2 linked regions of the Saccharomyces cerevisiae S288C genome follow. The protein of the gene in region 1 interacts with the protein of each later gene in a biochemical or structural test. Each region holds a gene or a part of one and is shown on either strand. Other genes may lie near its edges.

The links.
Region 2: the proteins of MHF1 (region 1) and SMC5 form a complex in vitro, tested with the Saccharomyces cerevisiae proteins (one study listed by BioGRID).

What each region holds. Positions count from the first base shown.
Region 1 is NC_001147.6:157,401-159,945, forward strand, and holds MHF1 (Mhf1p), read left to right. Parts: upstream 1-1,772; coding exon 1,773-2,045; downstream 2,046-2,545. Other genes in the region: DUF1 (Duf1p), read right to left, coding at 1-1,237; alcohol dehydrogenase ADH1, read right to left, coding at 2,148-2,545. UniProt on the Saccharomyces cerevisiae protein: dsDNA-binding component of a FANCM-MHF complex involved in DNA damage repair and genome maintenance. FANCM-MHF promotes gene conversion at blocked replication forks, probably by reversal of the stalled fork.
Region 2 is NC_001147.6:258,239-264,251, reverse strand, and holds SMC5 (DNA repair ATPase SMC5), read right to left. Parts: upstream 4,330-6,013; coding exon 1,048-4,329; downstream 1-1,047. Other genes in the region: glutamate--tRNA ligase MSE1, read right to left, coding at 1-777; YOL036W (uncharacterized protein), read right to left, coding at 5,222-6,013.

The sequences.
Region 1 (2,545 bases):
GATTTGAGTCAGTACAAAAAGAAAACAACAATTTTTCATTAGGTAAAAGGGCAATATCAAGGATACCACCATATTTTTTTACTTTCGCATCTGTAGTTGATATATTTTGCTCTTCGTGTTCATGGTGATGATGATGATGGTGGTGATGATCAGGCTTGAAAATTCTTGTAAGTTTAGCATCTTCATAACTGGATAAGTTTGCTCTCATAACATTGCCCTGAGAGTCACCAAAATACAACTTATCAAGGCTCGTTCCTTGGACACACCATATGGAAGAATCCCAGGACCAAGATCCAATTTTTTTGGGAAGCTGAAGGGCACCAGTAGTCTGATCATGCCTACAATTCAAGTCCCATACATTTATTACACCATCTGAGCTGGTACTGATTAGTCGTGTGGAGTCATCAAGAGTTCTTACTACTTTTATATTTGTTCTGTGGGCGTTTTGAATTCTTATCACCTCCTTACGATATTTACACGAATAAAAAATCAAATCACCATTACAGTCTCCGGCAACAAAATCAAAGGGACGAGACGTTTGATTGTCATCAAAACTGTATTTTGGGATGATGGGACTCATGGAGTATATTGAGCCTGTGTCGTTTGATTGTGCATTATCAAATGTGTGTAGTAGCGTAGCCATTTTTTCTGGCCCGCTGCTCAGGCACCAAAGTTTGATTTTTCTATCTAGACCACCTGTCACAAAAAGAAAGTTGTTCTGTTCATCAACAACAATGCCATTATTTATTCCATCGTGTACATTATCAGGACCACCCTCTTGTTCTTCCAATTCATAGTCATTTGACATTTCATAATGTATGGGCACTATGCACTTGATATAATCGTCGTGGTCACCGATTATTTTCTTATCCCAGGTAGTTAACTGCGCATTCACACTAATTAATACTATCGAAAAATCGTGACTTACTGATATGAATGTGTCCCCTGCAGATGGGTCTGAATTTTTCATATTAACATGTATTAGATCGCTTGCCCAATCGCTATGAACTTGCATTCTTATCGCATCGTTTTTTATGGTAGTTGCAGCAGTCTCAGGCTCGTTCGAGAGCTGTGTGTTCTTGTGCAAAATTATGGAACCATCCCTTCCTGAAGTAAGAAAATAGTTTTTACCAGGTATATCCGGGTACAGAATCTTTGTTATCGGTAAGATGTGCGCATCTTGGGAAGTGCAGTAATCTGGGGAAATTAGGCCATAACTCACTGTCAACTGATTCATTATTACCTTTCTATTTTCTCCGGCTTTTTATTGGCTTGCTCTTCTAAAGTCAGAAAAGCGTAGATTTGCTAGAATGTATCGTTTCCTCGTTAGGAATGGCTTGAACTAATTCCTGTATCTATGCAATTGCAATCCAACTACACTTATACGACGTCAAAAGGAAGGGGCGGAGCGTTCTAATTGTAGTTGCAAAAAGCGATGTAGTCGTTCTTCAAGTAGTAATTAATACCAGGATAGGACACGGTGTTATGGTGCTGGTAGTTACTTGTTATAATGTTATTATTGGGCAAAAAGAGAGTTCACTGTTTAACAATAGCAATGGGGTTTTTTTCAGTATACATTTGAACTGCAATGGAATTTGGGCGGAGGGAGCAGTAAAGGGGCGATCAGAGTTGAAAAAAAAATGCTGCCGTAAAAAAAGCATGCACGTATACACTTGAGTAAATATATTTATGTATTCATATCTCAAGATAAGATCATGATACATAAAAGCGATATAACGTCTTGAAGCTCAGGTAAGGGGCTAGTAGATGCAATGAATGACGATGAAGATAGAGCCCAACTGAAGGCTAGGCTGTGGATCCGTGTGGAAGAACGATTACAACAGGTGTTGTCCTCTGAGGACATAAAATACACACCGAGATTCATCAACTCATTGCTGGAGTTAGCATATCTACAATTGGGTGAAATGGGGAGCGATTTGCAGGCATTTGCTCGGCATGCCGGTAGAGGTGTGGTCAATAAGAGCGACCTCATGCTATACCTGAGAAAGCAACCTGACCTACAGGAAAGAGTTACTCAAGAATAAGAATTTTCGTTTTAAAACCTAAGAGTCACTTTAAAATTTGTATACACTTATTTTTTTTATAACTTATTTAATAATAAAAATCATAAATCATAAGAAATTCGCTTATTTAGAAGTGTCAACAACGTATCTACCAACGATTTGACCCTTTTCCATCTTTTCGTAAATTTCTGGCAAGGTAGACAAGCCGACAACCTTGATTGGAGACTTGACCAAACCTCTGGCGAAGAAGTCCAAAGCTTCTCTGGTGTCAGCTCTGTTACCGACGTAAGAACCAACAATAGAGATGGACTTGACGACTTGGTTGAAGACATCAGAACAACACTTGGCACCAGCTGGCATACCGACCAAAACGGTGGTACCGTTAGCTCTAACGTATCTGGTAGAAGCTTCAATAGCGGCTTCGGAAACGGAAACGTTGATGACACCGTGAGCACCACCGTCAGTGGCCTTTAGAACAGCACCGACAATGTCCTTTTCCTTAGTGAAGTCAATGAAGACTT
Region 2 (6,013 bases), 100 kb from region 1:
GGGCAGCCATTCCTCACCTCTTATAACATGGGTTATTCCCATCAAATGGTCATCCACAACATTTGCCAGATGATAGGTTGGCAACTTATCCGACTTAACAAGGATAAGGTCATCGTACCGTTTATCGTTAAAGTTTACTTGCGGTTGAAGATTTATTTGTCCATGTAAAAGATCAGTAAACGTTGGATATCGTTCTGGCGATTTAAACCGCACAGTGAAAGGTATACCTTGCGCTAGCTTAGATTTTATTTCTTCCTCCCCTAAGTGTGCACAACATCGATCATAGCTTGCCATCGAAGGAGGTTTCAATTCCATTGCAGAGTGTCTCAAATCGTTCAATCGCTCCTTTGAACAAAAACATCTATACGCCTTCCCAGAAGATAGTAATATTTTTACATATTTGTCATATATTAGTTTCCTTTCACTTTGCTTTATAGGGGTTTCATCGTAGTTTATGTTACACCATTTCAGAATCTCGTAGATGTTTTCTTCTGCTCCCTCTATTAGCCTCTTCTGGTCTGTATCTTCTAAACGAAGCAAAAACTGCCCATTGGTGTTTCTTGCTAATAGGTAATTGTAAAGGGCTGTTCTCAGTGACCCCAAGTGTAAAAACCCAGTTGGAGAAGGCGCAAACCTAGTTCTAACAGGTAAAGAAGGATGGATATCTTCCTTTATTTTCTTGGATAACAGAGATTTCTTCAATGGTGAGAGACCTACGCCCTTTATTAGCTTCGAAGGTGAACAATAAGACCGTGTCGGTATTCTCAACATGATCATATTGTTATTTTATAGTTCTTCTGTACCAGATTAGATTTTTGTCATGTAGCGGTTGCTTGCTTTGGTGCCTCGAATTTAATATAAGAAATTAATTATTGCAGCTTTTCTTAAGCGCGTTCTATTTAATTAGTTCTTTATTTGGTGAAGCCTTACATTTGTGAGGTAAGACAGCTGACACTAGAAGACATTTTTGCTAGATGAGACCAAACGTCTTGGTTATAAACATGTTTACATCTATATGTGTATAATTAATTATGCAATAGTGAAAGATTAATCGAATGAGTAGTTAGAAGTTTCACCGAAATGTATCATCTTCGGATCCTCAGAAGGGTTTGGAATCCAAGAACCAGCCATGACACAGTGTATTCTCATCTTTTCATGATAATGCAAGCCAGTCAATAATTTTGGAGTGATTAAAAAATATTGAGAAGTGTTTTCGGCACACGCGTTCTCCACCATAGCTTTATGAACGATCCTTTCATTTCTAGAGTCCATACCTTGATTGATTTCATCAACCACTCTAAATGGTGCAGAGGTAAACTCTTGCAAAGCAATCATGTAAAGAACTGTAGAAACAGCTCTTTCACCACCTGATTGCGTGTGGGAATCTAACTTTTTTAAAGGTGCATTATCTCTGAATTTTACCATGATTTCTATCTTCCATTCAGCATAGTCCTTCGGCTTTTCTAGACGAACCGCACCAGCACTCCCAACATTGTTGAATAAGCGCGCAAATCTTGCAGAGATTTTTGATACAATATCATCTAATTTGGGCTCCAAAACTGCGTGATCTTCTTTTAATTTAGCTTTAATGGTCTCCAAGTCTTTCGACTGCTGAGGAACCGTGTGCTCCAACTCTCTCAGTTCGGCTGTGACTTGATCCAAAATTGTTACGGCTGACTCGTCGTGGTTTACCATAGCTATCTCCGATTCTAATTTATCGAGAACATCCTGAACGAATGACAGATTGAAATTCCCTTCCTCCTCGTATTTTTCTGCCACTTTATTCAATTTTTCCTTAGTGTCTTGGTCATAAGACCTGATTTCTCTCATCCATGATTGAAATTCAGGAGTGTCTCTCATTTCTTTTACGAACTTTTTCTTGTCTTCATATTGGCTCTTCAAATCAGCTTCCCTCTCATTGAAAAAACCAATTACGTCATTCATAGAAACATCCATATTTTGGGCTTCAAATTGAAGGATTTGAGTACTTATTAACTCCTTCTGACAATTCTTTAAACTCTTCATTGAAGAGGCCATTTTAGACAGCAAATGTCTTTGCTTGAGTAATAGTTGTTGGATCTGATCATCAATATCTTTAATCTTTTGAGATACGTCCTTTCTAGCTTCACGTTTCAGTTGATCTAATTTCTCTCTTAAAGTCTCTATTGTACTTTTTCTCATAGTGTACTTCTTGCGAATCTCATTTAATTGATGAGCTTCCCTATTAATATCGTCGTTTTTTGACGCCAACTCAGATAATTCGTGCCTATAACCACTTTTCTGGTTTGACAATGCATCTAACGTAGATTTTCGATCGTTGTATTCATTCTTTAAGTTGATAATTTCATTTTCAATTCTAATTTTCTGCTCATTTGACATGATTGATCCCTGATAAAAATTAGTTTGTTTAATACTAACGTCAGTAGGAAAGACCTGCTTACTACCATATGCTGATTGCTTGATATCGACTAACCTATTCCCATGAATAATCCTTTTAAAAAGAATTTTCCCATTCGGTCTTGGTGTAATCAACTTCTTTATCTGAGCAGGCGTCAATTCCCTTCTTGATACCGGTATAGTATGAATTTTGCTAGTTTGACAAAGCATTTTCATAACCCTCTTATCACCGGTAATAAAATCGGATAGATAACCCTCAAATCCCAGGTCCCTCACCGTTTCCGCTGGTACAGGAGGGGTGGTGTCTGCACTGGAGAGTTCTCTCAAATTAACCTTGAATTTGTCAAGAATTGGATTTGCAAATAGCTTGTAAGAATCAGAATCAACAACAGTCAAGGCTTTACTCGTATTATAATCCACACATTGTGCTAAATATGCAGCAAATTGAGCGTTAATGGCAGACACGGTCATTATTGGCGGTTCTAGAATTTTATCTTTCATTTCTGGATGCTCTCTAACCATCAACACAGCATCACGGACCTCCTTTAAATCCTGGTCCTGATTTAAGATACCGATTTTATCAGTTGTTGTAAGGGATTTGGTCTTGCTTTCAGCTTGTCTCTGTATGCTTCTCATCTCATGATTAATAGCGTTCGCCTTCGCATCAATTTCGGAAATAAGATCCCTAATTTCGCCTTCTTTATTAATAATTTCCTTTCTTTTAATGTCTATATCTTCAAATACGCTTTTCTCAGGAAGATGTGTTTGTGCTAATATTTCCTGACTCCTTAGAAAATCTTCCTTTGTACTAATAATGGTGGCCTGTAGTTTTTTGGTTCTTCCTCTATAATATTCGTTCTGGTTTTTCTTTTTGATGACCTCATCCCTAATAGTATTTAATTTTTCGAAGATTTCGTTGATCTTTTCTTTTGCTTTCAGGAACTCATCAGTTTTTAGGGAACACTTCTCTGTTAACTCTTCCACCTGATTTTCCAAAGTCTTCTTAGTATTTGCAAATGGTTTTTTATCCTTCAGTATAGCCCTTAAGTTCGCTTTCGCTCGTTCGTATTCTTCTTTATATATGTTTAGCTTTTCTTTATGGTCCTTTACTTTCACATAAGGTAATAGTTGGGAGTGTAACTCGATTTCACCCTTCTTATTTTGAAAATCTCGTAAAGATTCAACTGATTTACGTAGTTTATCACTTTCTTGTCTCAAATGAACAATTTTAGCTTTTTTAAAATCGAGATCTTTTTGCAAGCTTTGCTCATTTCCTTGTAATTCCCTTAGTTCATCCAACACATCCAATAAGCTTGCATCGATTGACCTTATAGTCTCTACTAATAATTTAACTGACTTCAAGCGAGCAAACTCCTCAACACGCTCTTGAGATAAAAATTGACAAAGATTATCCAACTGAATGTTCAGCTGAGCAACTAAAGTTTTAACTACACTCTCAGATACCTGGTAGTCATTTATTAGATAATCCGATCTCCTCTTGGATCTCGTAATAATCCTGGTAATCTTTATTGTTTCATCACGTGCGTCTATGTATTCAATATCAGTAACATTTGGTGAATTTTTCAAGGTGATTTCAATTTTTGAAACATCTTGACCATTTTTGATGAAATCTTCCACTTTTTTACTCCTACCAATATACTCGGGTTTACCAGCCAATCCTAAACACACTGCGCATACGAAAGTAGATTTTCCAGATCCGTTTGGCCCAATGATCATATTTAAAGACGGTGAAAGATTGAATTCGGTTAAAGTGTAAGTAACAAAATCCTGTAAACGGATCTTAATAATGCTGCCTGGTTGGAAGGAAGACAAGTCAGGTTTTGCGATTTTTACCCTTTTCGATCTTGGCTCTGTATCTTCTCCATGATGCGTTCTTTCAACATATCTGCCCAAATCTATTAGACTGGTCATGCTAGGGATATAGCTTTTATGTACCACGCCCTTTTATTTGATATACTTCCTTTAGAATTGCGTACACGTACTTGTGAAAGTAAATACCTATTATCGGCATCTTGTCATCGCATAAAAAGGTAATCCAACGCGAAAGTTAACGCCATAATATAGCCCAGTCATCCTGAACGGTCTACAAGATTAATAAGATCAGCTATGCCAGCTTGTTGAAATAATTAGTGGCAACAAGTGTGTTGTCAGACAAATGTGATTATTTACATTTACAAAGATAGAAAGGAAATATCAAAACTATAAGAGTACACTACGGGCTAGAAAAAAAATAAAGGAAATGTTTCTTACATTAGTATCAGTGTAGCGGTTCTGTAAAGGTTAATCTTTGTTTGATTCAATCACGAAAAATCTGCTGCAAATTGCTACCTCTTTCATCATTCTAAAGTAAGTCCTTCTCTTATTCCTAGATGTTCGAGCAATACCAATTAAACTTGGCACGATGCGTGCAATTAAGAGTAATCGGGCACTGCACTCCGACTGGAGTCCGACGAATATCGTAGTGATCTTTTTTATCTACAGTACTGGTTGCTTATATCTTCCAGTGTATATATTCAATGTGGGAAGGAGGGAAAGGTCATTTTGCTAATTTTCATTTTTTCTCGCCTTTTAAAGCATGAGAAGAAAAGTTGACCATGTGTGCCAAAAAAAAAAAAGGTAGGGCTACCATCCTAATTAGAGTAATTTAAGGAATTTATTAAAATGCAATGTTAACTTTTTATAGAGTGCGTAAATAACTATGTAATGGTAAATACATGGCATACAGTATATGCGTGTTTACCACCATATATACGTGTATACTTATATTTTGTCTGCCGTTATATATAGCCAAGACCTTTTTCCTTCATGGGTTGTTCAACTTTCCACGGTAAAATCGGACATAATCAGACCATATCTTATTCATGGAAATTCGTTTCTTTTTCAAATACTGCAGGTCCTTATCACTGCACCATCTACAAGATGCAAATTTTCTTTCCAAAACAGCATACCTTTCATCTTCCTTGCGTTGCTGCTGAGCCAGGATTTCCACGTATTCCTTGGCATTGAGCTTCATGCCTTCTTTGTTTCTTAAATTGGTAATGCATAATCCGATGGTAGATTGCGTTTGTAACGACGAGCGATTGATGCGATGAGTACCCTCTGTGACAGAGAGTACGGGAACAAAACTTTGTAAGGCTTCTTTATCCAGATATATTTCACTTGGCTTTGTTTGCTGTTCAGGCAGTACATTTTTTTTGCTTGAATTTTTAGACAGTATCTTTCTACTTGACGTTCTTTTAGGAACATTAATCTTACCTTCTTCGCGTAGTGGAGAGATGTCGTCTGTTGATGATTCTGGAAGAGATGTTGATGCTCGATTAAATGTACTCACGCCATCTATTGAAACTCGATCATTTTCTTTTGAGACTGGCGTTGTCGGATGTCCTCCCACGGTTGATAAAGAGGAAAACGACAATTCTGTAGGCCCCGTAGTCACCATAGATTTGGGTGATAAAGTGAGAATTTCCTTACTATTATTACTGTCGCTCAATATTCTAGTAAAACCTCTCTTTATCTTAGAACCTAGAGATGTCTTTCTGTAGACGTGTTCTGTGTCATTTGGAGTGGACACTAAGACCTCCTCCGAAGCTCGACT